Anolis sagrei: one gene and its partner. The protein of the gene in region 1 interacts with the protein of each later gene in a pairwise test. Links are inferred from orthologs where the notes say so. Each region holds a gene or a part of one and is shown in the gene's direction. Other genes may lie near its edges.

Region 1 (15,894 bases):
CCATCCAGCCTCTGTTTAAAAGAAGGAGCCTCCACTACTCTCCGAGGCAGAGAGTTCCACTGCTAACAGCTCTCACAGTTAGGAAGTTCTTCCTACTATTCAGGTGGAATCTCCTTTCCATTGCGTCCTAGTCTCCAGGGCAGCAGAAAACAAGCCTGTTCCCTCCTCCCTATGACTTCCCCTCACATCTTGATATATGGCCATCATGTCTCCTCTCAGCCTCTCAATCAAACTTTATTTATATTCCGTTCCATCTCTCCTTGGGGACTCGAGACAGCTTACAACACCAATGGCAACCATTCCATGGGAAGATGGCATCTTTGTAATTGCAAGAGACTCATTGGAAGAAAGAGAAACTAGCTCTTACCTTTATTTTAGTGGCATAGACATCCTGCACTTGCTGTTTGGGTGCTAGAAGAGAAAGATACATGAAAAAGAGATTGGACCATACATATGACGATGGAGACAAAAAGGATACCTTAAGAGTATGCCTAAATGTGTTTTCCAAGGAGCATCTCTCACTGTGGATCCAAGTCACACTGTTTCCTCTCTAACATCTTTTGGGTTCTGTTCTCTGGTGGACTATATTTACCATATTTATATCCCGCCCTTCTCACCCCATAGGGGACTCAAGACGGCTTATGTATATAGGCAGCAATTCAATGCATATGGACATACATAGTAAAATAAATGTATACATTAAAACAATCTTTAAAAACATATCAAACCTTAAAACCACTTATTTAAAATCACATGATCCAATATCATAGTTTGAGGCATTCCAGATTGTCATTGCACTAATCTTTATTCTCTTATTGCACTGGTAGAATGTTTGGCCAAATATCCACATCTTTAGCCTTTTCCTGAAGACCAGGAGCGATGGGGCCTATCTAATGCTCCAAGGAGGGAGCTCCACAGCTGAGGAACCACCACTGAGAAGGCCTTGTCTCTCATCCCCACCAGTCGCCCTTGTGAAGGAAGCAGGACCAGGAGCATGGCCTCCCCAGAAGATCTTAACCTTCTAGGTGACTCATAGAGGGAGATACATTCAAACAGGTAAAGTGGGTTGGACCAAGGACCACTTTGACCAGGGACCACTTGTCCAGGGACCACTTGATGAGGAACCACTTTGACCAGGTACCACTTTGTCCAGGGACAACTTCATGAGGGACTTTAACCAGGGACCATTTGACCAGGGACCCCTCTCCAACATTAGTACCAAAATCAGTTTTTGGTCAACTTTAGATTTGGTTTGGTTACTTGGGGTGCTGATTTGGAATATTGCATTGGATTGATCACATCAGCTCTAGTATCTTTTTTTCGTGTAGGATTTTATTGAAATAAAGACTTTATAAATAGTTGGTATTCTCTGATTTTTTTTCACAGACTTATGGACCAAAGAGTTGACTCCTCCTCTCTAGGTTGGAAGTGGGGTAAACCACCTGTCAGAAGAGTTTCTCTTTACCTGTTGGACTTTGCTTGAAACTCACTTTCTGATTAGCCCTTAGTTCAGAGCGGCAGCACCAGAAATGATCTCAACCAGTTCCTTGGTGATGACAGCTTCATATTGTATTCGCTGAAGGAATCTACCACAAGTAGATGGCCATCTGTCAGGGGTGATTTGAATGCAATATTCCTGCTTCTTGGCAGGGGGTTGGACTGGATGGCCCATGAGGTCTCTTCCAACTCTTTGATTCTATGATTCCATGATTCTAAGTTAACAGAGCGCTCGGATGATTTCCATGGACAACGCAAGCAAAATGCCTCTGAGATGATTGACAAACATCAGCTCTAGTTTCTGATGTAGAACAGATGACATCCAGTAGTCGCCAACTACTCACCCACAGAAAAGCATATTTAATAAGCCTCGGCACTGTAAGAGGGTTGCAACGGTGTAGTAACAGTGAGGCCACAGACCATATTTTAATTCTTGCAGCCCCACTGGTGATCCACAGACCACAAGTTGGGAGCCACTGGGCTAAAGCCAGCACTTTGAACTGTGGTCAGTAGTAGACTGGCAGCCAGTGGAGCTGATGCAACAGGAGGGATGTTCTCTCTCGGTTTGGCTCTCTGGTGAGCATCCTGGCTGCCGTCTTTGGACTAGTCGAAGCTTCCAAACAGTCTTCAAAGGCAACCCACGTCGATTGTGTTGCAGTAGTCTATTTGAGATGTAACTAGAGCATTGATTACATATTCCCAGCTTCAGATATTTGAAAGAAGCTATTGTGATATCTTTCCGTCTTCTCTCCTTCAAGCTAAACATACATTGCTGGAGGACTCTGGGAGTTGTTTTTAAAAAGGAACCTTAGAAGAGATAATTGAGGAGTTACATTATCTCCAAGCGTCAAATCCTCCCCATATTCACGCCAAATATATTTGCATAGTAGGCTTGCATAGTAGGCGTATGATTTTGGAAATATATTGATAGATGCACGTTCTCCTGAAGGCACAAAGGGATAGAAGATTTGGTGCTTCATTTTTACTTGGCCTTCCCACAGAAGTGCATAGAAGATTCAGGAGACTGACTTTTTTTGCAGAGCGAGGGAGACTTGGTTTTAGTCTCTTTAATTCTTTGTCCTTTCAAAGGCCAGGTCTCACATTCTCTCTCCTCCAACTCCAAATTAAATCCCGATCCTATGGGCACAGGTGACGGAATTGAGCAACTGATAAAAGAAAAGAGGGCAGAGGAGGAAAGAGAAGTGCTTCTTCTCCCCTCTTCCTAATTTTCTGGGCTCTTTTGGAGACCCTGTGCCTACATCCCATCTCAACCCCCCTCTCGAAATCCTCTCCACTCCGCCACACACACAAATATAGTCTCAGAGGGGCCCATCTTCCCCCCCAAAGCGCTGAAGGAAAAGTCTTTATGCCTTTGTGCGGGGGATTCATTAACATTCCCGTAGCGAGCTTCTCCCGAGGATTTTACTTTTGTAGCTCTGGGGGGAGGTCAAAAGGCCACAGCGAAGAGGTAAAAAGGAGGCAGGAGTGGTGTGGGGTGGAAAAAAGGAGAAGAAAAAGAAGAAGAGTGGATTGGTGTGGAGGAGGGAGAGTCAAAGATGTTGGCTTTCAAAGGGGGATGGGAGACAGGAGGGATGGAGAAGGGATGGGGTGCCCAGGACAGATGGAGGTAGCTATGTGGACATGGGCCGAAAAGAAAAGGAAGGAAGTTACATGGGAAAGAAAAGAAGAGATCGGAGGGAGGGAGGGAAGCAAGCAAGCAAGCTGGCTGGCTGGTTGGAAGTTAAATGGAGGATGGAAGAGATCAAAGGAAGGAAGGAAAGAAGAAAGGGAGGGAAGCTACCTGGCTGGTCAAATGGAAGAAAGTTAAACGAAGGAAAGAAGATAGGGAGGAGAATAAGAAGAGAAAGAATGAAGGAATAGTCATGAAAACAAGGAGGAAGGGGAAGGGGAAGGGGGAAGGGGAAGGGGAAGGGGAAGGGGAAGGGGAAGGGGAAGGGGAAGGGGAAGGGGAAGGGATGGGAGGGATAGACCTGAAAAGAAAGCTACCTGTTTGTCAAGCTGGAATAAAATTAAATAAAGGATGGAGCAGATGGAATGGGAGGAAGTGAATGCAGAAGGGAGGAAGGGGGGGGGGGAGGAAGGAAGGAAGGAAGGAAGGAAGGAAGGAAGGAAGGAAGGAAGGAAGAAGGGGAGGGATAGACCTGAAAAGAAAGCTAGAATAAAATTAAATAAAGGATGGAGCAGATGGATTGGGAGGAAGTGAATGGAGAAGGGAGGAAGAGGGAGGAGGAGAAGGAAGGAAGGAAGGAGGGAAGGGGAAGGGGAAGGGGAAGGGGAAGGGAAGGGATGGGATGGGATGGGAGGGATAGACCTGAAAAGAAAGCTACCTGTTTGTCAAGCTGGAATAAAATTAAATAAAGGATGGAGCAGATGGAATGGGAGGAAGTGAATGCAGAAGGGAGGAAGCGGGGGGGGGGGGGGGGAGAAGGAAGGAAGGAAGGAAGGGGAAGGGGAAGGGAAGGCAGGGATAGACCTGAAAAGAAAGCTACCTGTTTGGCAAGCTGCAATAAAATTAAATGGGGAAGGGTGGAGCAAAAGGAATGGGGGGGGGGGGAAGTGAATTGAGAAGGAAGGGAGGGAGGGATGGAAGGACAGGAGGCAAGGAGGCAAGGAGGACAGACCTGGGAGAAAGGCTAGCTGGTTGGCAAAATGGAAGAGATCAAGTTAAATGCAAAAGAAAGGGAAAGATCAAATGAGGAAAGAAAGAAATATGCAGGAATGAAGGAAGGTGCATGAGAAAATTAAGAAGAAATAAACAAATTTGAAAATAATCTAGGAAGGAAGATTAAAAAGTTGCAGGAGGAAGGGGAAGAGGAGACAAAAGAAAGCAGGCCAATGGATTGATTTTTGAGAGAAGTGTGCTTTTAGAGAGACAACGTCCTCTTTCAATCCCACATTTTTGTAACCAAAATAGTTCAAGAGAAAATAAATTGTTCCCCTCTTTCATTTAAGGAGGATTCAACTGCTTTTAAAAAAATAAAAACAAATTTTGTGGTGCCTTAGAGAGCGACAATATTAACATGACATAATAAATATGGTAATAAATAAATAGGATGGGAATGCAAATGGAGACCGCAGGTTAAAGGACAAGCCTCTAGTCTCATTTAAAGGATGAACTTCAATCTCGTAGTGATTCCAGTGTTAATTCTGGCATAATTAAGGGTGTGGAGGAATGCTTTAAAAATACCAGCCAGGCAACCCACAAAGGTCTATGTCCAAAAAATTTTAAGAAAGGATCTTTTAGGAATAGATTCTCCAGATTTTTTTTCCATGTCAGGAGTGTTTTGAGATTTCTAGTGGGAGAGAATTCTGTGAGGATGTTGCCCAGGGGACGCCCGGATGTTTTTACCATCCTGTGGGAGGCTTCTCTCATATCACCACCTGGGAAGCTGGAGTTGACAGATGGAAACTCACCTCGCTCCCCGAATTCGAACCACCAACCTTTCGGTTAGCAGCCCTACCAGCACAAGGGTTTAACCCATTGAACGACCAGGGGCTCCAATTGTCCAGATAGTAAGCATGTATACTTCCTCTCTCACAAAGCAAATGTCACTGTGGTTGGTGGAGCATGGAAGTACAAGCATAATTGTGAGTAAAATCATTTGAATCCTGATCCAGTTAATTTCATCCAGTTTTCCTCTGATTTCCATAGCTATCTGCATTTCAATGGAGAAACCCAAATATCTATCCCAAAATTGAGCATCTTAATAATTTGTTGGAATGGAACTCCTGCCTATAAACATAAGAAACTATTTAAGCATCATCCAGTTATTTTCAGCCTGAATTTTGTTCTGATTCCTTCCCCTTCAGAGGCAGCTGGATTTCAGTGGCAAAACCACACAGGTCCATCTCAAAAATTAAGACACATCCCAAAAAGTATGGGATTGGGGAAGTATGGAATTACCAGGCATAAACGCAACAAGTGATTTGAGGGTGATGTAATTAATTTCAATCCAAGTGTCACTGATTCTGTTCCATGCCAGAAGCAGAAATATTTCAATGTCAATACAAAAATATTTACCTCCAAAAGATAAGAAACATCCCAAAATGAGTATCATTGTGGCTTGGAAGTATGGAATAACTGGACTTAAATGCAAGAAGTGGTTTCAGGGTGATCTAGTTAATTTCGGACTAAATTTTGCTCTGATTCTTTCCACTCCAAAGGAAGCTGAATTTGGATAGAAAAACCAAAAACATCTATCCCCAAAAACTAAGAAACATCACTGTGATGCCACGCCTGGGATTGAAGGAAAACTATGTTTGCCTGGCTATTCCCCAGTGGCTATCAGTATACCTTTATGTACTTTTATCTCTTTAAAATAAGGCCAAGACTTCACAGTCACAAAATGGGTATCTTAGTGACTTGGAAGTATATCATTATTGGCCATAAATGTGATAAGCGACTAGAGATGGGATTTGCATGAAGGCAAGAAAGTATTTGATGTAGTTAAGCATTTCTCAACGTGGGGGTCGGGACCCTTTGGGGGGTCACAAGGAGGTTTCAAGGGGGTTGCCAAAGACCATCAGAAAAAACAGTATTTTCTGTTGGACATGGGAGTCCTGTATGAGAAGTTTGGTTCAATTCTGTTGTTGGTGGGGTTCAGAATGCTCTTTGACTGTAGGTGAACTATAAATCCCAGCAACTATAACTCCCAAGTGTCAAAGTCTATTTTGCCCAAACTCCACCAGTGTTCACATTTGGGCATATTGAGTATTTGTGCCAAGTTTGGTCCAGATCTATCATTGTTGGAGTCCACAGTGCTCTCTGGATGTAGGTGAACCACAACTCCAAACTCAAGGTCAAAGCCCACCAAACCCTTCCAATATTTTCTCTTGGTCATGGGAGTTCTGTGTGCCAAGTTTGGTTCAATTCCATCATTGGTGGAGTTCAGGATGCTCTTTGATTGTAGGTGAACTAGAAATCCCAGCAACTACAACTCCCAAATGACAAAATCAATCCCCCCGCCAAGCCCACCAAATTTGTGCCAAATTTGATCCAGTGAATGAAAATACATTCTGCATATCAAATATTTACATTACAATTCATAACAGTAGCTAAATTGCAATTATGGAATAGCACCAAAAATAATTTTATGGTTTGGAGATTACTACAACATGAGGAACCGTATTAAGAGGTCGCAGCATTAGGGAGGGTGAGAAACACTGTCTTAAAGGTTACTGTGTAATTAATATACTTTGACATCACTATAATTAACTGTCACGGCTGAGTACTATGGAATCCTGGCAGTTGTTTACAAGCTTTCTAACCTTCTCAAACTACAACTCACATGATTCACTAACATTGTGCCATTCATAACAGGAGCAAAATTACAGTTATGAAGTAGCAACGAAAATAATGTTATGGTTTGGGGGTCACCACAAGATGAGGTACTGTGTTAAGGGGTTGCGGCATTAGGATCTCCCACTGGCTCCATTTATTATTATTTATTTATTTCCGGCATTTCTATCCCGTCCTTCTCAACCCTCGAGGGGACTCGGGACGGCTTACATTGGCAACAATTCAATGCCATAAATACAACAAACAATATATCAATAGTTTAAAGCAACAAATAAATCATTAGGTTAAAAGCACTTAAAACATTTGTCAACAGCATGAAGCCAGTCCAGTTCAATTCATAATTTTGTCAAATCCAGTTCAGTTCCATAACCAAGTGCTGCTACATCTGTTGTCCAAAGGTCTGGTCCCAGTACCATGATTTTAATTTTTTCCTGAAAGACAGGAGGGAAGAAGCCGACCTCATCTCGCTGGAGAGCGAGTTCCATAGGCGAGGGGCCACAGCCGAGAAGGTCCTGTCTCTTGTTCCCGCCAAACAAATGTGCGAAGCTGGCGGAGCCGAGAGCAGAGCCTCCCTGGAGGACCTTAAACTGCAGGGTGGGACATACAGGGAGATACGTTCTGACAAGTAAGCTGGGTCGGAGCCATATAAGGCTTTATAGGTCAAGACCAGCACTTTGAATTGTGCTCGGAAGTGGACCGGCAGCCAGTGAAGCTGACATAACAGAGGGGTCATATGTTGCTCCAGTTAGCAATCAATGGGTTAAACCCTTGTGCTGGCAAGACTGAGGACCGACAGGTCAGAGGTTCAAATGCAGGGAGAGTGTGGATGAGCTCCCTCTGTCAGCTCCAGCTCCCCATGTGGGGAAATAACTGAAGTTTCCCACAAGGATGGTAAAACATCAAAACATTCGGGCATCCCCTAGGCAATGTCCTTGCAGACAGCCAATTCTCTCACACCAGAAGCAACTTGCAGTTTCTCAAGTCGCTCCTGCCACGGAAATTTTTTTTTAGGAAAGTTGAGAACCACTGATCTAGTTGATTTCAGCCCAAGTTTTGCTCTGATTCCTTCCACTCTAGGACTATCTGGATTTCAATGGGGAAAACCAAAAACGCTTATGTCCCAAAAATTAATAAACACCCCAAAATGGGTGTTTTAGTGGCATGGAAATAATGGAATCACTGGGCATAAATGCAAGAAGGGGTTTGAGAGCAATCTAGTTAATTTCAGCCCAGGTTTTGCTCTGATTCCTTTCTCTCCAGAAGTGGCCAGATTTCAGTGTTGGAAATAAAGATCCCCCAAAGTTTCTTCTCTTTCCAAGGGAGCAATTCAGGGAAAGAAAGAGTTAAGTTTCCTTCTCCTTCCCTCTTTCCCCCCATCCAATCCTGCCAGTACAAAAGAAAAAAGAGTGTACAGAAAGATTAAGAGTTTTGCTTTTACAATGAGAGGCACAAAGGGGGGGAGGCGTGTCCCCTGAGGATGTGTGAAAGGGGAAGGGGCTGCAAGGGGGGGGGCAAGGGGAGGGATGCCATTCCCGAGAGACCAGGGTCAGGTGCCCACTGGCTCCCCACCAAAGACAGAGACTTGGGGTCCCCTCCCCAAACCCCAGCAGGGATGTCTCGGAGGAAACAGCGCAACCCCCAGCAACTCATCTCTGACTGTGAAGGGTCCACAGCCTCTGAGAACGGTGGGTGCTGGGGAGTGGGGAAGAGAAATTTGGGAGGGTCTCCTGGCAGGTGCCATTATAGGCATGGGTGGGGAGGGGGGCTTAGCATCAATGTATAGCAAAGCATGCATAGTGCTGGTGCAGGGGAAACATTTCAAGGAGGCCTGGGAAGAGAGAGGAAAGAGAGCAGATGAAAAGATGAATCTCACAAGTAGAAAAAAGTGTATTGGGAAACTCAAGCAGCTGGGCTACTTACAATGTTGCATGAGATGGATTCTCTCCCACACATCTGTGCTCAAACACATGGATTTGGGTTTTGGAGCTGGAGAAGGAGAAACAAAAGCAAGGGATGCGAGAAAACAGGGCATAACTTTTGTAGCATGTGCAAACACAGATGCCCAGAACTGAGGAAAGTTACTTTTCTGGCTACTGTTCCCTAGAATCCCCGAGCGATCATGCGCAGTGTGAGCTGGTTGGGAATATCTGGGAGGAATAGTACAAAAAAAGTGAGTTTTTAAGAGTGTGATGGTTTGTTTCTCTCTCTCACACACACACACACACTTTTCCTCACTCTTAGGGCTCTTCCACACAGCCCTCTATCCCAGTATATCAAGGCAGAGGATCCCAGTATATCAAGGCCAGTTCAAAACAGATATTGTGGGATTTTCTGCCATGATATTCTGGGATATAGGGCTGTGTGGAAGGGCCCTTGGGCCCTGTCTACACTGCCATACAAAATCCAGATTATCTGCTTTGAACTGGCTTATATGGCAGTGTAGACTCATATAATTCAGTTCAAAGCAGATAATCTGCATTATCTGCTGTGATAATATGGATTATATGGCAATGTAGAAGGGGCCTTACTCTCATGCAGTCATATCAATGTATCCATCTGGTTGCTTCCTCCCTCCCTCCATCCCTGCCTTCCTCCACAGTGCTCTCTGGATGTAGGTGAACTACAACTGCAAAACTCAAGGTCAATTCCCATCAAACCCTTTCAGTATTTTCATGGGAGTTCCATTTGCCAAGATTAGTTCAATTCCATCGTTGGTGAAGTTCAGAATGCTTGTTGATTGTAGGTGAACTATAAATCCCTGCAACTACAACTCCCAAATGACAAAATCAACCACCACCACCCACCCACCCCACCCCCCAACCTCACCATGTTCAAATTTGGGCTTATGGGATATTTGTTCCAAATTTCATAACAGTAGCAAAATGATAGTTATGAAGCAGCAACGAAAATAATGTTAGGGCTGGAGGTCACCACAACATGAGGAACTGTATTAAGGGGTCGCAGCATGTGGAAGGTTGAGGAAGGTTGAGAACCACTGATATAGAGCAATGGGGCAATAATCAGTTAAATGGTCCTAATGTTATGGTGGGGGTGGGGGGAGCAGAACCATAAATAGGGAATTGTTGTGTCTCTCCACCGCTTGAGCAAAATGTCACTTCCATTTTTGGAAAATGGCCATACTGTGGTCCATGTAGGGTCTGCATGACTTGAAAATGGCCCTCCGACACTTCCAAGTGTTCCCACCAGACACATAGCATACAAACCAAACAATAGCTCAGTTGCCTTGTAGGGAGAACATAACCACTCAGGTAGCTGCAAAAAGTGAACCCAGCAATGTTATGGAAGATAAAGCTAGAAGAAGAGGAAGGCAAAGTGGGAGATGCATAAGTAGAAGAGCTGTGGTAACCCCAAAAACTAGATTCTAGCTGTATTTTATTGTTGTAAGGTATCTTTAGTTCCCTATTGGAAGAGAGGGAAGGCAGAAATAAAGTCCACATAAAGTCCAGTTCTATACTAGAGTAAGTCATCTCCTTAAAGGATGTATCTATACTGTATAATTAATACTCTTTGACATCACTGTAACTGTCATGGCTGAGTACTATGGAATCCTTGCAGTTGTTTACCAGGTATCTAGCCTCCTCTGCCAAAGAGAGTTGGTACCTCACCAAACTACAACTCACATGATTCACTAACATTCTGCCATGGCAAGTAAAGTGGCGTCAAGCTGAATTCATTCTACAAGGTCTTTAATAAGACAGTGGAAATATCAACTGTGATCAGTACTTTTTTTTCATGTCAGGAGCCACTTGAGAAACTACAAGTCATAGAATCATAGAATCAAAGAGTTGGAAGAGACCTCATTGGCCATCCAGTCCAACCCCCTGCCAAGAAGCAGGAATATTGCATTCAAATCACCCCTGACAGATGTCCATCCAGCCTCTTCCAAAGAAGAAGCCTCCACCAGTCGCTTCTGGTGGGCCGTTTGCAAGGACGTTGCCCAGGGGACACCCAGATGTTTTACCATCCTGTGTTTTGGACTTCAACTCTCACCATTCCTAACAGTCTCAGACCCCCTTCTTTTTGCCCCTCAGCCACTTGGACTGAAGTTTGACCATGCCTACACTAAGACCAGAATGGGGGGCGCATGGCAAAGATACAGAATGGGGGATGCATGGGTCGAGAACAGTATTTGTGAAAAAGATCTTGGAGTCCTCATGGACAACAAGTTAAACATGAGCCAACAATGTGATGCAGCAGCAAAAAAAGCCAATGGGATTTTGGCCTGCATCAATAGGAGCATAGTGTCTAGATCTAGGGAAGTAATGCTACCCCTCTATTCTGCTTTAGTTAGACCACACCTGGAATACTGTGTCCAATTCTGGGCACCACAAATGAAGAGAGATGTTAACAAGCTGGAATGTGTCCAGAGGAGGACGACTCAAATGATCAAGGGTCTGGAGAACAAGCCCTATGAGGAGTGGCTTAAAGAGCTGGGCATGTTTAGCCTGCAGAAGAGAAGGCTGAGAGGAGACATGATAGCCATGTATAAATATGTGAGAGGAAGTCATAGGGAGAAGGGAGCAAGCTTGTTTTCTGCTGCCCTGGAGACTAGGACACGAAACAATGGCTTCAAACTACAAGAAAGGAGATTCCACCTGAACATGAGGAAGAATTTCCTGACTGTGAGAGCTGTTCAGCAGTGGAACTCTCTGCCCCGGAGTGTGGTGGAGGCTCCTTCTTCGGAAGCTTTTAAACAGAGGCTGGATGGCCATCTGTCGGGGGTGCTTTGAATGCTTCTTGTCAGGGGGTTGGACTGGATGGCCCATGAGGTCTCTTCCAACTCTATGATTCTATGACCTTTTGTCAGGCTATGTTTCTTCATTCACTGATGCCAATTCCACAGGTGTGCATAGACTGTGCCCCACAATCTCACAAACCCGTCACATCCTCTTTCTTGTGGATTTTGCCATGTTCTGTCCTTCCCATGTTCTGGCACCCAGAGAATGCTTGCATCTCATTTTGCATCTCTTTTCTTTGCTCCCATGCATTCTCTCGCCCGGCTCTTTCACAGCCCTCTGCGTCCTTTCATGCACAGACCGGGGTCACACACACATGCATTCGGCCACACTTCCTCACCCACATATTTTTGTTGCCTCTTTTCTCCGCTCTTTGTGCTGTTGCTAAGTTACTCAGGGAGGCCTAGGTAGTCCCTCTTGTGCTAAGTTAAATTCGCCATCCCCCTCCTCTATTTTTTTTCTTTTGGGGGGCTTTTGCTTGTGACAACTGCCTGGAGTCTAGCCGCCTTCTGAAATGTTCAAGGCAAAGACAACATTAAATAGGTTGTGTTCTCATTCTCCCAGGAAGAACTTGTGTTTAGGTGCAGCGGGCAAGTTTGCAATCTCTTTGGGAAGTGTTTGTTTAGGTGCAAGGAAATTGGATTGCAAATTAAGGCGGAAAGCCTGCCTTCCAGGCTGATGGGGTCATTGTGCGCAAGTGTTCCTGAGCAAACTTCAGCAGACATATTTATGTGCGCTCCATGCGCCTGTATATTTGCACTGACTGCTTGCTATGTTTCAGAGCAATGTGCAGCCCAACCCTGTGTGGGATTTGTTAAAGAGGGAGGGCGTTTTCTTAATTAGCTTCCTCCCAGTTGTTGTGGTGCCAGGACTTACCCTCCACTCTGCTCTACAGTTCTGACTTTTGCAGATTTGATTATTCACAAACTATTTTAAGAATCTCTAAGTTTTCCAGTGAGACCCTGTAGTTACCTGCCTCCTGGAAGAGCTGGAGATTTCTAGAGGGAACATGTCTCTAGGAATCTCTTAAATCCTCCAATGAGGTTCTATGGTCAGCTTCCATTGAAAGGTATCAGGTCTTAGACGTTAAACAGGATCAGTCCTGGGTTGTTGTAGATTTTTTCGGGCTATATGGCCATGGTCTAGAGGCATTCTCTCCTGATGTTTCGCCTGCATCTATGGCAAGCATCCTCAGAGGTAGTGAGGTCTGTTGGAACTAGGAAAAATTGTTTCTATATCTGTGGAATGACCAGGGTGAGACAAAGGACTCTTGTCTGCTGGAGCTAGGTGTGAAGTATCAGTCCTGGTTGCTACTTGGATGGCGGATAGCCAATGAATACCAGATGGTTCCCAACCACTGGTCCTCCAGGTGTTTTGGAATTCAACTTCCAGAGATTCCAGCCATCTCATTAGCTGTTAGGAATTGTGGGAGTTGAAGTCCAAAACACCTGAAGTGGTGTGAAACTCCATTAATTCTACATCCTGGCTCCCCTGTCCCCTGTTCAGCTACTTGCTGATTCCCTCAGCCCCTCCAGGTGTGCTGTGGAGCTGAAGCTCAGTGCCTTCCTCCTTCTCTTTTCCCTTTCTCTTCTTCTTTTTCCTCTTTTCTTCCTCCCCTCTTCCTCTTTCCCTCCTCTTCTTCCATGCCTTTTATCCTTCTTCCTCCTCCTCTTCCTCTTCCTTCCTCTTGCCATCTTTGTCTTTCCCCCTTCCTCTTCTTTTACTTCCTTTCGGTTGGTCCTCCTCCTCCACTTCCTCTTCTTCCTCCTCCTCTTCCCTCTTTTCCTCCCCCTGGCCCCTCTTTTGATCCCCCCACCCTTTTCCTCCTCCTCCTATTCTTCCTCCTCCTCCTCCTCCTCCTCCTCCTCCTCATCTTCTTCCTGCTCTTCCTCTTCCTCTTCTTCCACTTCATCCTCCTCCCTCTTCCCCTCCTCTTCCTTGCTTTTTATCCTTCTCCTTCTATTCTTCTTCTCCTCTTCCTCCCCCTCCCCTTCTTCCCCTTCTTATCCTCTTCCTCCTCCTCAACTTCTTCTCCTTCCTCCACTTCACCTTTCTTCCTTCTCCTCCCTCTCTTCCTTCTCCTGCCCCCCCTCTTCATCTTTCTCCTCTTCCTTCCCCTTGCCCTCTTCCTCTTTTCTTCCCCATCCTTCTTTTTCCTCTTTCTCCTCCTATTCTTCTTCCTCCTTCTCCTCCTCCACTTCATCTTCTTCTTCCTCCTCCACTTCCTCGTCTTCTTCCCTCTTCTCCTTCTCTTCCTTGCCTGTTATCCTCCTCCATTATATTTCTACTTTCTTCTTCTCTTCTTCCTCTTGTTTCATTCTCCTCTTCCTCGTCTTTCATCCTCCCTCCCTTTTCCTCATCCTCCCCCCCTCCACTTCTTCTTCCTCCACTTCCTCTTTCTTCTTTCTTCTCCTCCTCTAATTAGTCTTCCTCCTTCTTCTTCCTCCTCCTCCTTTCTCTTCTTCCTCCTCTTCTTCCGCCCCCTCTTTCTCCTCCTCTTCTTCCTCCTCCTTCTCCTCCTCTCATTCATCTTCTTTCTCTTCTTCTTCCCCCTCCCCTCTTCTTCTTCCCCTTCCCCTCTTCTTCTTCCTCCTCTCCTTCTTCTAATTCTTCATCCTCCTCCTCTTCTTCTTCTACCTCCTCCTCCTCTAATTCTTCCACCTCCTCTTCTCCTTCTTCCTCCTCCTCCTCATCTTCTACCTCCTCCTCCTCTTCTTCCTCCTCCACCTCAAATTCTTCCTCCGCTTCTTCTTCCTCCTCATCTTCTTTCTCCTCCTTCTCCTCTCATTCTTCTTCCTTCTCTTCTTCTTCTTCCCTCTCCCCTCTTCTTCTTCCTCCTCTTATTCTTCTTCCTCTCCTTCTTCTAATTCCTCCTCCTCTTCTTCTTCTACCTCCTCCTCCTCTTCTTCTTCTTCTTCTTCTTCCTCCTCATCTTCTACCTCCTTCTCCTCTTCTTCCTCCTCTGCCTCAAATTCTTCCTCCGCTTCTTTTTCCTCCTCTTCTTCCTCCTCCTCCTCTCATTCTTCTTCCTTCTCTTCTTCTTCCTCCTCCTCCTCTTCTTCTTCTTCCTCCTCCTCATTTTTTCCTCCTCCTCTAATTCTTCCTCCCCCTCCGCTTCTTCTTCCTCTTCTTCTTCTTCCTCCTCTTCCTCACCCCCTCTTCCCCTCCTCGTCCACTTCCTCGCCTTTTCTTCTCCTTCTCCTCCTTCTCTTTTTCCTCCTCCTCCTCCTCCTGCTCTTCCTCTTCCCCAGCCTTGGTGGCGCTGGCAGGAGCAGCCAGAGCCACCCTCCCGACACCAGAGGTCCCTGCTGCTGCAGCCGGGTGCCGCCGGGGAGCCGCTCTCGGCAGCCGCCCAGCCAGCCGCTCGTCTTGCCACTGCTGCTCCTTCGCCCTCCTCCTCCTCTCCGTCCTCCTCCTCTTCCTCTTGCGGAGGCCTCGGGCGGCCGAGATGAGCAGCCCGGGGGATCCCGAGGCGTCGGGGGAAGGCGCCCCAGCTGTTGCCGCCGACGTGATGATGCTGGAGGAGCCCGGAGGTGGGGCCGAGAGAGCGTTGCAAAGCCAGGGATGCGCGCTCTTGCTGGGGAGGGGGCCAGGGCGCAAGCCCAGCCTTGGGAGGTGGGGGGGGTCTTTATTTGGGGAGAGGGAGGTCAAGGCAAACCCAAGGGGGACCCCTTTCCTGCACCCCCTTTTTTTCTACCCCTAGGAGTTGCTGCAATTCCTCCCAACGCAGCTCAGCTCTGTGTGCGCCTTTTTGGCGAGGCCTCAGTGAGGACCTTGCTTGCCTCCTCTCCTTTCCCCATTGTCTGTTCGCCTTCTGCTTCTCTATTAGGAAAACACTCAACAGCTTCCTCCTTCCTCCTATCCATCCACTAACCCCCCCCCCCCCGGTTTATTTCAGTGTATCTCAACCTGGGGGTCGGGAGGGGGGGTTCAGTGGTGTCGCCAAAGACCATCAGAAAACCCATATTTCTTAGCAACCCCTTTGGCAGAAAAGGCTGCAGATCTCTCCACTTGGCCTTCTCTTCCCTTTTGGTGTTGGTGAACTGCAACTCCCAAAATGCAAAAACAGCCCCCTTCCCCAACCCCACCAAAAACGCATATTTCTTAGCAACCCCTTTCGCATGAAAAGGCTGCAGATCTCTCCACTTGCCCTTTTGGTGTTGGTGAACTATAACTCTCAAAATGCAAAAACAGCCCCCTTCCCCAACCCCACCAAAAACACATATTTCTTAACAACCCCTTTCACATGAAAAGGTTGCAGATCTCTCCACTTGGCCTTCTCTTCCCTTTTGGTGTTGGTGAACTATAACTCCCAAAATG
Region 2 (15,794 bases), on another chromosome or scaffold:
TGCACTATACCATTATATTGTAATATTATTAGCAATATTACATGTAATGTAAATATATAATTATAATATATACTACCTCTGAGGATGCTTGCTATAGATGCAGGCGAAACGTCAGGAGAGAATGCCTCTAGACCAGGGGCAGTTCTTGCATTACGCTAGGTAAGCGACTGCTGAATAGTTTTTTTTTTTTTGCCAGAGGCACAAGGGCGCCTCTGTAAATGCCCCCTCCCCTCCGCAACCTTTCTCTGCCTCCCTCTCCCTCTTGAAGGCTACACAGAGTCGCAGCCTCCCTTCTGGCTCTGCGCATGGCCCCACAGTTGGACGGTGTTTCCCTCCACTCCCTGCATGCGTGCGGGAGGAGGCGAGAGCAGCTGTGTGCGAGGCCCCTGGAGGCGCCCTCCTGCCTCCTGCTCCAGCTATTCAAGATCCGGGAGGAGCACGAGGAGCCAGGTCAGTTCTAGTCACCTGCTTACAAGGAAAGGGCCTGAGGCTGCGAGGAATAGTGGGAGTTGGGAGTCCAAATCACCCAAGTCCCACTTACTGTTGTTGTTATTATATTCTTCTTCTTTTTATTATTATTATTATTATTATTATTATTATTATTTTAGTATTATATGGGGCAGAAAGGATGAGGGAACCTGCTATAACTTTGACTTACCGTTGTTGTTTATGGGTTTGTTGTTGTTGTTATACGGGGCAGAAAGTTGTATTGGATCACACGTGGGACACTTCACAAGTGTCTAGGACTGTGTGATGTATAGGTGAATAATGCGTACTGGGGTAAGGTGGCCTTCTGCAGCTGGCAGGCAGATCATGATTTTGTCAGTGCTGATTGTTTTTAAGTGCAGGCTAAGGTCTTTAGGCACTGCACCCAGTGTGCCGATCACCACTGGGACCAATTTGACTGGCTAGTGCCAGAGTCTTTGCAGTTCAATCTTTTAATCCTCATATTCCAGGTTTTCTGTTTATCCCAGATTATCTGGCAGTGCGGACTCATATAATCCAGTTCAAAGCAGATAACCTGGGATCGGATCTTGGGTTATAAGGACAGTGTAGAAGGGGTCTAGGGGCCCTTCCAGACAGGCCCTATATCCCAAGATCTGATCCCAGGTTTTCTGTTTATCCCAGATTATCTGGCAGTGCGGACTCATATAATCCAGTTCAAAGTAGATAACCTGGGATCGGATCTTGGGTTATAAGGACAGTGTAGAAGGGTTCTAGGGGCCCTTCCAGACAGGCCCTATATCCCAAGATCTGATCCCAGGTTTTCTGTTTATCCCAGATTATCTGGCAGTGTGGACTCATATAATCCAGTTCAAAGCAGATAACCTGGGATGGGATCTTGGGTTATAAGGACAGTGTAGAAGGGGTCTAGGGGCCCTTCCAGACAGGCCCTATATCCCAAGATCTGATCCCAGATTTTCTGTTTATCCCAGATTATCTGGCAGTGCGGACTCATATAATCCAGTTCAAAGCAGATAACCTGGGATCGGATCTTGGGTTATAAGGACAGTGTAGAAGGGGTCTAGGGGCCCTTCCAGACAGGCCCTATATCCCAAGATCTGATCCCAGGTTTTCTGTTTATCCCAGATTATCTGGCAGTGTGGACTCATGTAATCCAGTTCAAAGCAGATAACCTGGGATCGGATCTTGGGTTATAAGGACAGTGTAGAAGGGGTCTAGAAGGGGTCTAGGGGCCCTTTCAGACAGGCCCTATATCCTAAGATCTGATCCCAGGTTTTCTGTTTATCCCATATTATCTGGCAGTGCGGACTCATATAATCCAGTTCAAAGCAGATAACCTGGGATCGGATCTTGGGTTATAAGGACAGTGTAGAAGGGGTCTAGGGGCCCTTCCAGACAGGCCCTATATCCCAAGATCTGATCCCAGGTTTTCTGTTTATCCCAGATTATCTGGCAGTGTGGACTCATGTAATCCAGTTCAAAGCAGATAACCTGGGATCGGATCTTGGGTTATAAGGACAGTGTAGAAAGGGTCTAGGGGCCTTTCCAGACAGGCCCTATATCCCAAGATCTGATCTCAGGTTTTCTGTTTATCCCAGATTATCTGACAGTGTGGACTCATATAATCCAGTTCAAAGCAGATAACCTGGGATCGGATCTTGGGTTATAAGGACAGTGTAGAAGGGGTCTAGGGGCTCTTCCAGACAGGCCCTATATCCCAAGATCTGATCCCAGGTTTTCTGTTTATCCCAGATTATCTGGCAGTGTGGACTCATATAATCCAGTTCAAAGCAGATAACCTGGGATCGGATCTTGGGTTATAAGGACAGTGTAGAAGGGGTCTAGGGGCCCTTCCAGACAGGCCCTATATCCCAAGATCTGATCCCAGGTTTTCTGTTTATCCCAGATTATCTGGCAGTGTGGACTCATATAATCCAGTTCAAAGCAGATAACCTAGGATCAGATCTTGGGTTATAAGGACAGTGTAGAAGGGGTCTAGGGGCTCTTCCAGACAGGCCCTATATCCCAAGATCTGATCCCAGGTTTTCTGTTTATCCCAGATTATCTGGCAGTGTGGACTCATATAATCCAGTTCAAAGCATATAACCTGGTATCGGATCTTGGTTTATAAGGTCAGTGTAGAAGGGATCTAGGGGACCTTCCAGACAGGCCCTATATCCCAAGATCTGATCCCAGGTTTTCTGTTTATCCCAGATTATCTGGCAGTGTGGACTCATATAATCCAGTTCAAAGCAGATAACCTGGGATGGGATCTTGGGTTATAAGGACAGTGTAGAAGGGGTCTAGGGGCCCTTCCAGACAGGCCCTATATCCCAAGATCTGATCCCAGTATGACATTTCAAGCCTTGGGAAAAGTTTGAATGAAACAGAATTGAAGAATGCCTGTCAACACCTTCAAACCATTTTGGCTGATAGTGAAGACTGTGATGTGAAAGGTGATGATCTGTTTGAATAGCTACAAATATTTGCAACCATGCTGCCCCCTGGAAGTCATCCAGCGAAAGCGTTGTCTTTCATAACCAAACGTGGTTATGTGGATACTTTCCCAAATGTTTATATTGCATTGAGAATTCTGTTAACACTTCCAGTATCTGTGGCCAGCGGTAAAAGGAGTTTTTCAAAATTAAAACTTATAAAAACGTACTTAAGATCAACTTTGAGTCAAGAGCGCTTGAGTGGACTAGCAACCTTGGCCATTGAAAATGGCTTGTTGGATGAAATGGAAAGAGATATAATAGTACACGAGTTTTCAAAATTGAAAGCCAGAAAAATATCTTTTTAATTTTAAAAGTGTTCAAGTTTATTTGTGTTAAAAAAACAAAACTGGATGTTAAAGTATCCAGTCAAGTGAAGGGGCCAGATGCTGGCTGTGTTGCCACACCCATTGCAATGGTCCAGGCTGGCATGGCACTTTTGAAGGACAAGAGTTCGCTTTCTTAAAAAGGAGGTGTCTATTCTCCTAGGGCTGCGTTCTCCAAAACAAATCTGATTTACAGACCCAACAAGCATGGGTTTGAGTTCTCTGTTATTAGCAAGACCCTAGTCTGAAAAATCTTTTGAAGAGACAGCATGACCAATAAACCTTTGTGTAGTACTTGTAGACCAAAAATAACAACAAAAACTTAAAATTGTTGCTAAGTTTAATAAAATATTTGCATTCTAAAAAAAGTTAATTTGTGTTAATTCTAGGTAATGTAACTATATGAACATAAGTAAATTTCTGGTTTGTAAGGTAACTCTTTTATTCACCTCTACCTTCTATGTTTTATTTTTCAGTGATTGGTTGAGGGGGGGGGGGCGCCAAAATAATGTTTGCTTACCTTTGAAAATTACCTAGGGCCGCCTCTGCTCTAGACAATGGCCATATAGCCCGAAAAAACCCTGTGATTCTGGCCATGAAAGCCTTCGACAATATTGTATTATTATTACTATTATATTGTATTACATTATAATATTATAAATATTATATGTATATACAATACACTATATTATTAGTAAAGACAAGATGGAACTGTCTTCTGCTCCTCTCTGTCTTCTTATAAGGTTGGATACCGATTAACATTTCATTCCATTTTAATGTGTTTTGAGGGGATGTTTTCAAAGGGCTATTTATTTATTTATTAATGATATTTGTATCCCGCCTTTCTCAGCCCGAAGGTGACTCAAGGCGGTTTACAGTCAGCAACAATTCGATGCCACGACAGACATAAAAATACAGTTTAAAACATTCCACATATAATATAAAAAATTCCTCTGACTAGGAATCCCCACCCCAAGTCCTAGTAGCACCTTAGCATAACGAATCGTCGCTGCACACCGCACTTTTAATCCTACGTGCCTCCTGCCATTCAGCACTTTTAACCTTGTACCCCATTGCGCCGGCCGAACCAGTTTTAATAATGTCTTGATGTACTGCCATTGTCGTTATTTTGCTTATTGTTTTGATTTGCTTTGCTATTGTTGTGTTATGTTTTCTATTGTATTGTGTTTTGAGGCTTCGGCCTGTGTAAACCGCATCGAGTCCTCCGGGAGATGCTAGCGGGGTACAAATAAAGTTAATAATAATAATAAAATAATAATATAAAAACAATAAGAAACATAAATCATCAGCATCTTTTTACTAAATTCATTTTCCAATGGCATCATCAAATAGTTCCATATTTGCCTGTTATGCTGCATTTGTGAAAGCTCGCTCGAGCCAGGTTTTGACTTTTCTTCAAAAAATTTATGGTTTTTTTGGGGGGGAGCCATTACTTAAGTTCGGAGCCATATCATGGGGAAGGGGCATTGTCTTTCCCCTGATCTTTCTGCTAAACCTCATAACTGGTTCTTTCTGTGACTGAGTCCTGATCAAACTCACAAAGCAGAGGGAGGAATCAATTGTGGCCCTACAAATATGGCTCCCGAGATCCTATAAGTGCTGGGCTGCCGGGCCCATGAAGTATAATGCAAAAAGCCAGGCTTAGTGACCTTTGGAGCAGGCCTTCAATCACCTTCCACAACTCCTGCATCAGGTAATCAGCACATCTCTCTCTTAATTTGGAGGGAAGGAGCAGTCAGTGCAAGAGAATCCTGCCAGGGAGGAAGCGAATCCATCTGGGTTGGTGATGGTGGCCCCATCTTCACTGACTACTTAATGCAGTTTCAAGCCAGCATACAGAAAATACTGGGAGGTCCAGATAGGGATCGCAGGAACCACGGCACACAGACAAAGTGCGGAATTGTTTCTTTCGCACACTATTGTGGCAAAATCTTGCCTGGTTGCCACAATATGAAGTGCATTGAATGGTCCATGTGGATGAGGCCTTGGACGGGTTCTCCAATGCACAACAGCCAGGGCCCAACTTTCTTTCTTTGGTACTGTTCCATTATCCCGTCGGAGGCCACCGGGGGTGCAAGAGAGAGGACAGTCATTTTTACAGGGTGGAGGGTGGGTTGGAGGAGAAAAACCATTTCCCCCTGTTTTCCTGTTATTCTCCCCACCCATCCCATGGTGGAAACAACCTGCGAAAATGGGGGAAATAGTTTTCCTCCTTCAACTCGCTCTCCGTTGTTGTTTATTTGTTCAGTCGCTTCCGACCCTTCATGACTTCATAGAGCAGCCCTGTCGTCTGTGGCCACCCCCAGCTTCTTCAAGGTCAAGCCAGTCACTTCAAGGATGACATTTATTTATTTATTTACTATATTTATATACCGTAAACTACCGTAAACTCTCAGCCCCCAGGCGACTCGGGGCGGTCTACAGTCGGTAACAAGACCATAAAATACACTTAAAAACATTAAGATAATAAAAACAATATATCATTAGGGTCTCCTTGAAATCCGTCCAACTTGCCCTTGGTTGACCCCTCTTTCTTTTTCCTTCCATTTTCCCCAGCATTGTCTTCTCCAAGCTTTCCAGTCTTCTCATTATGTGGCCAGGAGCCCCCGGTGGCGCAGTGGGTTAAAGCCCTGTGCCGGCAGAACTGAAGACCGACAGATCGCAGGTTCAAATCCGGGGAGAGGCGGATGAGCTCCCTCTATCAGCTCCAGCTCCTCATGCGGGGACATGAGAGAAGCCTCCCACAAGGATGATAAAAACATCAAAATCATCCAGGTGTCCCCTGGGCAACGTCCTTGCAGACGGCCAATTCTCTCACACCAGGAGTCACTCCTGACACGACAAAAAAAAAAATTATGTGGCCAAAATATTTTATCTTTGCCTCTAATATCCTTCCCTCCCGTGAGTAGTCAGGCTTTATTTCCTGGAGTATGGACTGGATGGATCCCTTCCTGTCAATCAGTGGTTCTCAACCTGTGGGTCCCCAGATGTTTTGGCCTACAACTCCCAGAAATCCCATCCAGTTGTTAGGATTTCTGGAAGTTGAAGGCCAACACATCTGGGGACCCACAGGTTGAGAACCACTGCTGTAAATGGACTATATCCTCTCTCTATCGCCCCCTAGTGGTCACCACTCGGGTAATAGAACGGTACTCTTTCTTGGACCAGGTCATGGCGCAGCTGGTTCAGAGTCAGATGCATTAAAATCTGCTACTGACCAAGAGGTCGTGAGTTCAAAGCCAGCCGGGATCAGGGTGAGCTTCCAGCCATTTGTCTAGCTTGCTGTCAGACTTTACAGCCCGAAAAACAGTTGCATCTGTCAAGTAGGAAATTTAGGTACCGCTTATGCGGGGAGGCTAATTTAAATAATTTACGACACCATAAAACTCTCCAGCAGTGTGCAAAAACAATGAGGAAGGACACCATCACAAGTGGATGGTGACACCGATGCACGATCCCGCCGATCCTCTGGGGAGGCCCTCCTTTCGCCTCTTCCTTTTTCACAGGCAAGACTTGTGGGAACAAGAGAAAAAGCCCTGTGGCCCCCGACTTTGGAATTCACTACCTGGTGAGATTAGGCAAGCCCCCACCTTAGCAGCCTTTAAGAAAAATCTGAAAACTTGGCTCTTCCGATGTGCCTTTGGAGAGTTCTGTTTGTTCCATCTACAGTGTTGCCCCTATGATGCACTTTCCCCCATCCTAAATTGAAAGTCTAACACCACTGTTCATCCTTTCTGGGCTCCTCTCAATTACACTTTTTCTATTCCTACCTCATCCAGGGTTTTATCATTTTACCTCGTCCATTTGGCCTGCCCATTGTGTTTGATTTTATATATGTCCATCTCTTCTGTTTATTTTATTTTGCTACTTTATGTATATTATTCTGATGAAATTTTGTTGCCTGCATTTTGTATTTTATTTTGCTGTATTGGTATCTTTGAGTTTGGCCTCATGTTAGCCACCCAGAGTCCCCTTCGAGGTGATGGTGGTGGGGTATAAATAAAGTTTTTAAAATTATTATTATTATTATGGTGAAGCGACAGCTCCCTCGGTGGCTGGAATTCAAAAAGCATACCCTCATGAAGCTGGAAAGTTAAATAGCCTCTGTGTCTCTTATCTATATATGTTGTGTGTCTATGGCATTGAATGTTTGCCATGTATATGTGCATTGTGATCCGCCCTGAGTCCCCTGCGGGGTGAGAAGGGCGGATTATAAATGCTGTTAAGTAAGTAAGTAAATAAATAATACATTTCCTTGCTTCTCTCTCTCCATGGCTGAGGCCCAGGAAGGCCGAGCTCAGGGTTTCCTTTGAGGCGTCCTTCCCTCCTCATCCCTGAGGGATGGAGGAGGCTTGAGGTGAGCTCCCTGCTCTGCTGCTGGGCCGAAGACAGCCCGGGTCAGCGTGAGCTTCCAGCCATTTGTCTAGCTTGCTGTCGACCTTTGCAGCCCGAAAAACAGTTGCATCTGTCAGGTAGGAAATTTAGGTACTGCTTATGCGGGGAGGCTAATTTAACTAAGTTACGATGCCATAAAACTCTCCAGTAGTGTGCAAAAAGAATGAAGAAATACTCCATCGGTGTCACAAGTGGATGGTGAAGTGACATCTCCCCGGTGGCCGGAATTCAAAAAGCACACCCTCATGAAGCTGGAATGTTAAATAGCCTCTGTGTCTTTGGTCTATATGTGTTGTGTGTCTATGGCATTGAATGCTTGTCATTTATATGTGCATGGTCAACATTTTCTAATGTTACGTCATTAAGCTGTATCTCTGGCATTGGAAAGGGATTTGCTGGTGACTTTGGTTTTCTTGATGTTCAATGACAGGCCGAGCTTCTCGTATGTTTCTGCGAAGGTGTTTAGAGTGGCTTGTAGATCTTCTTCTGAATGTGCACAGACGACGTTGTCATCAGCATACTGGAGTTCTATAACAGATATAAATAAATATATTTCCTTGCTTCTCTCCCTCCATGGCTGAGGCTCAGGAAGGCCGAGCTCGGGATTTCCTTTGAGGCGACCTTCCCTCCTCATTCCTGAGAGATGGAGGAGGCCTGAGGCGAGCTCCCTGCCTTCCGCCGCCTTGGAGGAAAAGGGACACAGGAAGCAGGAAGGCCCCTCTTCCGCCTGCCTCCTCCTCTCCTCAGGAAACTGCTTCCCTCAGTGCCTCTGGGAAAAAAGCTGCACTCGCAGAGCTCAGGCAGTGTTGTATTTCAGTGTTGATGTTGACTTTGGTAGAGAGGTGGCTGCCAAGGTAGCAGAAATGGTCTACATTTTCTAATGTTATGCCATTAAGCTGTATCTTTACGAGAGATTTAGAATTGTCTGCACACCCACATATCCCTAAAATATCCATCCTATTTCTCTTGAACATGCCCAGCATTATAAAATTTTAATCATTACATTTGGCCCTGCCACAGGTTTTAAATGCGTCGTGATATTATTGTTATGCCTTACGAGTTATTTATTGTTGTATTGTTGTTGTTGTGTTTTATTGATGTATTTGGGCTCGGCCTCCTGTAAGCCGCACCGAGTCCTGCGGGAGATGGTAGCGGGTTATAAATAAAGGATTATTATTATTATTATCTGTGGTATTGGAAAGGGATTGGCTGGTGACTTTGGTTTTCTTGATGTTCAATGAGAGGCTGAGCTTCTCGTATGCTTCTGTGAAGGTGTTTAGAGTGGCTTGTAGATCTTCTTCTGAATGCGCACAGACGACATTGTCATCAGCATTCTGGAGTTCTATAACAGATATAAATAAATATATTTCCTTGCTTCTCTCCCTCCATGGCTGAGGCCCGGGAAAGCCGAGCTCGGGATTTCCTTTGAGGCGACCTTCCCTCCTCATCCCTGAGGGATGGAGGAAGCCTTCCGCCGCCTTGGAGGAAAAGGGACACAGGAAGCAGGAAGGCCCCTCTTCCGCCTCCCTCCCTCCCTCCCTCCCTCCCTCCCTCCCTCCTTCCCTCCCTCCCTCCCTCCCTCCCTCCCTCCCTCCCTCCCTCCCTCCCTCCTTCCTTCCTTCCTTCCTTCCTTCCTTCCTTCCTTCCTTCCTTCCTTCCTTCCTTCCTTCCTTCCTTCCTCAGGAAACTGTTTCCCTCAGCGCCTCCGAGGGCGGGGCTTGCGGAGGGGGCGGGGCGCGCGGTGCCGCAGGCGCAGGCCACGCCCCTTCTCCCCCTCCCGCTGGAGATAAGAGCTCCATTGCTGTGAGTGTCAGTGTCACCGCCGCTGAAGCCGAAGGAAGCGGCGGAGTGGGCGGGGCGTGCATACTAATGAGGCAGCCGGGCCTCTCTATTGTGCAACCGGAGCTCTGAGGTGAAAAGCGCAGGCAGGATGGAGGCGGGGAGCCTTGCCGGCGCTGCTCTTGCCGCGGCGCGCTCCTCCTCCTCCTCCTCCTCGTCCTCCTGGCTGTAGGGCTCGGGCAGCGGCGCTGAGGGCGGGCGGGCGGCAGGGAGCTGCTTCCTCCTCCTCCTCCTCTTCGTCTTCCTTCGCCTTCCTCCGCGGCCGCCATGGAGCCCGGGCGGCCAGGCCTGTGAGGGAACGGGAACAGCAGCAGCTCCTCATCCTCCTCCTCTTCTCCTCAGAGAAGGAAAAAGGGAGAGGCGGCGGCGGCGACGGCGGCGGCTGCGAGGGCCATTTTAACCTGGTGCGTTTGCCATCTTATCCCCTCAGGAAGCGGGCGGAGGGCCTTGTTGTTTGGCAGGGTTTGTGGGGGGGGGGGGTTCTTGGAAGGCCCCAACCCCCTTCCCAGGCTGCCATGTTTTATTGTTTGCTAAGATCATCCCCGCCTGTCTGCTTAGGGTGGTTTTGGCTGAGGGGTACCAAAAAAAGGGGGGGGGGGAGTTTCCATGGCAACAAAAGGGATGCCACGGGGAGCTGTGGGCGCCATGAGGCCGAGGAAAGGGCGCCTGCCTGCCTGCCTTCTCTTGGATGGGCCCGCTTGGAGCCTCCCTTATCCATTAGAATCATAGAGTTGGAAGAGACCTCATGGGCCATCCAGTCCAACCCCCTACCTAGAAGCAGGCATGTTGCGTTTAAAGCACCCCGACAGATGGCCATCCAGCCTCTGTTTAAATCCTCCAAAGAAGGAGCCTCCACCACACTCTGGGGCAGAGAGTTCCACTGATTGTACTTGAAAGATAATATTCACAATCATAGAATAATAGAGTTGGAAGAGACCTCATGGGCCATCCAGTCCAACCCCCTGCCTAGAAGCAGGAATATTGCATTCAAAGCATCCCTGACAGATGGCCATCCAGCCTCTGTTTAAAAACCTCCAAAGAAGGAGCCTCCACCACACTCTGAAGAGACAGTTCCACTGCTGAACGGCTCTCACAGTCAGGAAGTTCTTCCTCATGTTCAGATGGAATCTTCTTTCTTGTAGTTTGAAGCCATTGTTCCACATCCTAGTCTCCAGGGAGGCAGAAAACAAGCTTGCTCCCTCCTCCCTGTGGCTTCCTCTCACATATTTATTCATGGTCCTCATCATGTCTCGTCTCAGCCTTCTTCTCTTCTTCAGGCTAAACATGCCCAGCTCCTTAAGCCACTCCTCATAGGGCTTGTTCTCCAGACCCTTGATCATTTTAGTCACGCTCCTCTGGACACATTCCAGCTTGTCAACATCTCTCTTCAATTGTGGTGCCCAGAATTGGACACAATATTCCAGGTGTGGTATAACCAAGGCGGAATAGAGGGGTAGCATGACTTCCCTGGATCTAGACACTAGACTCATATTTATGCAGGCCAAAATCCCGTTGGAGTATAGTGTCTACATCCACGGAAGTCATCTTTCAAAATAGCACAATCATTATTAAAAGTGTAGAATCAACAGTTCCATAACAAAACTTGTTAATATCTCTCTTGAATTGTGGTGCCCAGAATTGGACACAATATTCCAGATGTGGTCTAACCAAGGCAGAATAGAGGGGTAGCATGACTTCCCTAGACCTAGACACTATGCTCCTATTGATGCAGGCCAAAATCCCATTGGCTTTTTTTGCTGCCACATCACATTGTTGGCTCATGTTTAACTTGTTGTCCACGAGGACTCCAAGATCTTTTTCACACGTACTGCTCTCGAGCCAGGTGTCATCCCCCATTCTGTATCTTTGCATTTCGTTTTTTCTGCCTAAGTGGAGTATCTTGCATTTGTCACTGTTGAACATCATTTTGTTAGTTTTGGCCCATCTCTCTAATTTGTCAAGATCATTTTGAATCCTGCTCCTGTCCTCTGGAGTATTGGCTATCCCTCCCAATAATAATAATAACAATAATAATTTAAAAGATTTAAAGATTAAACTGCAAAGACTCTGGCACAAGCCAGTCAAGGTGGTCCCAGTGGTGATCGGCACACTGGGTGCAGTGCCTAAAGACTTAACTGCACTTAAACACAATCGGCGCTGACAAAATTACCATCTGCCAGCTGCAGAAGGCCACCTTACTGGGATCTGCATACATAATAATAATAATAATAATAATCTTTATTTATACCCTGCCACCATCTCCCCAATGGGGACTCGGTGCGGCTTACATGAGGCCAAGCCCGGACAACATATTACAGCAATAAAATCAAAACATTAACAACAAATAACAACAACATCATCAAAATTATATTTAAAAAATAGCAGCAGTCATAAAAGATCATTCTAATAAACACAATCATGGTGACGGTAACAATGGATAAAAATAGGATAAAAACAATTCAAAGACTGAAATGAGACAAAATAGGAGCAGAACATTTACAGGTACTCATAAAATACATAGAATTGTGAGGCTAAACTTTCCATTTGGGGGCGCGAGCTCCAGCAAAAACGTTGAGGGGTGCAAAATATCATGGCATGCACCTACTCACCAAAGGTGCAGCGGAAGAGCCAGGTTTTAAGGTTCTTTTTAAACATTTCTAATGAAGGGGCTTTCCTAATCTCTCCAGGTAAAGAGTTCCAAAGTCGGGCATTATTTGCCGATACACAGTCCCAGACAGTAGGGAAGTGTCCGACGTGTGATCCGATACAACAGCCAGCAGAGTGTCTGCTGTGGACTCATCTCGTTGTGTTTCAAATAATAATAATAATAATAATAATAATAATTAAAAAAACTTTATTTATACCCCGCCACCATCTCCCCAAGGGGACTCGAGGCGGCTTACATGAGGCCAAGCCCAACATCAGTAAAAAACAAAGCAGCAAGCAAATAAAACAGTACAATTAATATAACTCGCATATAAGCAACATATGATTACACGCTTTCACGTTTCTTGAACACTTGAATGGGTCAACACCACAGGTCAGGGAATCTATATCAATAAAATGGATGAATTGACACGAAATTTGGACACAAGACACCTATCAGGCCAACAAGTGACCATTATTCATAAAAACACTGAAAAACACAACAGAAGGTACTTAAAATGCCAAAAAACCCAAAAAATACATTACAACACATGCACACAACCATATATATATGAAAATGCACATATATACACACCTACACAAATATATACACATAGTACATATGTGTATAACACACACAATGTGATGTTTGTTTGTGGGATTAACATAATTCAAAAACCACTGGACGAATTGACACCAAATATGGACACAAGACACCTATCAGGCCAACAAGTGACTATCACTCATAAAAAAACACTGAAAAACACAACAGAAGGGACTTAAAAGCCAAAAAAAACAAAACAAAAAATTACAATAACGGATGATGAGATTGGATCTTGATTCTACTGATGAGACACTAATGATTTGTTATATTGATGCTTAATTGTTTATTATGCTACTGTTTTATCTGTCCCTTAACTGTTTATATGATGTTTAGCATTGAATTTTTGCTGTTGTTAACCACTTTGAGTCACCTAAGGGCTGAGAAAAGCAGTATATAAATGAAATAAATAAATAAACACATGTACACAACTACATATATATGCGAACGCACATATATACACATCTACACAAATATATACACATAACACACATATATGCATAGCACATATGTGTATAACACACACACACATATACACATAACGCAAGCACACAAAACACATATGCAGATACTGGGCCACAGCAACAGGGCAGGGGATGGCTAGTAATAGTATAATAATACTCAGCAACAGTTGGGTTGATAGAGCCTGCAAAGCTGGTCCTACCTGTCTCTGTTTCTTAGAAGCTGGCATATTTTCCCAAGGAGCAGCTCTTGGGTTTGTTTGTTGTTTTACCCTCCATGCTGGCAAATCTTAAAATGTCCACAAGTGCCCGCCCTCAGGGAACATCTCTCAGAAAGCCCTGTTGTAGGTTGGGGCTTCTTCAAACTTTTCAATTGCAAGATACTCCACTTAGGCATAGTGTGGTGGAACCTCCTTCTTTTGAGGCTTTTAAACATCTGTCGGAGGTGCTTTGAATGCAATTTTCCTGCTTCTTGGCAGGGGGTTGGACTGGAGGGCCCATGAGGTCTCTTCTAACTCTATGATTCTATTATTCTAATTCATGACCTCTATTCGGTATTTGAGATATTTTGAGGTAGCCCCAATGATGTAAAACAGGTACAAAACTCAAATGTTTCCTGGTGCGAGGATCAGCAATTGCAAGATGGTTTCCCTTTTTATAGGAGCCCCCGATGGTGCAGTGGGTTAAAGTAATATAATATATTGTATATACATATAATATGTATAATATTGTAATGTAATGCAATATAATACTAATAAAAATATGATATTATAACTATATATTTTATATTACATGTAATATTACTAATAATATTACAATATAATGGTATAGTACAATATAGTAATATATAATTCTAAGATGGTGCTATGCTAATAATATATTGTATGTATATATAACTTGTAAGCCGCTCTGAGTCCTCTTCAAGGTGAGAAGGGTGGGATATCTAAGTTGTAAATAAATAAATACATAAACATAGCAAAAACAGTACAAATACACACACTAAAAGGTACCTCCATAAAAGTTCCATACCAAAACGTATCTCTATGAAATACATGTTAAAACAGACAAAACAGAGATTAAACAAAGGACATGCATTAAATTCATGATTATGTTTAAAGATTGTCTTGATAGGCCTGCCAGAAGAGACAGGTCTTCACTTGTGTCTTAAATTCCGACAGCTGATTTAGAGGCAGGTCGTTCCACAGTCTTGGGGCAGCTGATGAAAAGGTCCTCTGGGTGGTGGTTGCCAGTTGGGTTCTGGCTGTTTGGAGCAGACGTCTCTCAGAAGACCGAAGTGTGTGAGGCAGATTGTATGGGAGAAGGTGATCCTTTAGGTAACCTGAACCCAAGCCATGCAGGGTTTTAAAACTCAAAACCATCACTCGGAAACGAATTTGCAGCCAGTGGTTTAACTTTAGGATAGGTGTAATATGCTCACTCCTAGATGTTCCAGTAACCAATCTGGCTGCTGTATTTTGAACCATTTGGAGTTTCCAAACTTGGTACAAGGGTAGCCCAATGTAAAGTGCATCATAGAAGTCCAACCTTGAGGTTACCAAATGCCTGAAACAACCACAAAGTGACATTGGGAGAACTTACACTGTTGTCAATTTTTGTGACCCCAACATGGAGCTAAGACTACCCCATTTGAGGCTGGGACCCAGATTTTAGGAGGCAGTGTTGTCGATCAGCCCCCCCCCCCCACATCATAATGCTGCTCTTCAGTCTCATAAGCCCCAAACATCGGATGTACTCTTTGGGGCTGATGGTCCTTGCAATCAAAAACATCTGATGGGGAAGGTGCCTATAGTTCTACATCTTGTTAAAAAATCATCCTGAAGAATGAAATGAGAAAGACAGATATTACTAAGGAGTTGGAGGATGCTTCATTGAGTTTTCCTGTGAAGAAGAGAGCTGAAGAGTTGTGCACGATTTCAGCCTTAGGTGGGAGTGAATGGCGGGGGGGGGGGGGATTTATAAGTTGAAAACCCAACCAAGGAAGGAAGTGAGAGAGAAAACAGTGTGTTCCTCTCTTTAAAGGTCTTGAGCTACCTGTGCTAGGATTGAGAAGATGCCACATTGCTGGAGCAAAGCAATGCCCACAGAATATCTTCTAACTTGTTCTACTCTGCTATTTGTGCAGTTCCAATATCTTCTAGTTTCCTTGCTGGTATTGTTTATCCTGTGGAAGAAAAACAAACAAAAGAGTTATTTTTTCACTCTTTAATGCAGGTGTGAAATTGCATTTATTGTTTTGTGGCCTGATTGTGATCTAGCATTGTGAAGAAATGCATCTACAGCTAATACAAATTGTCTTCTGCCGTTACTCTTGGGTGTTTTTAATTTGAAGGGAAGGGTGGAGAGGACATCGGCTCTTCATGTTGCCAGATACTCAGCTCATTTTGTCCTTTCTGTTTGGCTAAACACTGCCAATCTGTCTGCAGAGAGTTTAATTTAAGTTGTGATTCATAGGGTAAGGGGGTATCCTGAAAGCATGAAAACTCATGCAGCATTCTTTCCACAATGTCAGAAGATAAGAGGGTTC

The links.
Region 2: the proteins of SALL2 (region 1) and ZMIZ2 interact in binary tests that used the Homo sapiens proteins (3 or more experiments, as listed by UniProt). The two-hybrid records come from large-scale screens. The link is inferred for Anolis sagrei from reciprocal best matches to the Homo sapiens genes SALL2 and ZMIZ2.

Annotation. Positions count from the first base shown.
Region 1 is NC_090026.1:10,881,932-10,897,825, forward strand, and holds the start of SALL2 (sal-like protein 2), read left to right. Parts: upstream 1-8,355; 5' UTR 8,356-8,429; coding exon 8,430-8,502; intron 8,503-15,894. UniProt on the Homo sapiens protein: Probable transcription factor that plays a role in eye development before, during, and after optic fissure closure.
Region 2 is NC_090027.1:15,220,601-15,236,394, forward strand, and holds the start of ZMIZ2 (zinc finger MIZ domain-containing protein 2), read left to right. Parts: upstream 1-9,489; 5' UTR 9,490-9,945; intron 9,946-15,794. UniProt on the Homo sapiens protein: Increases ligand-dependent transcriptional activity of AR and other nuclear hormone receptors.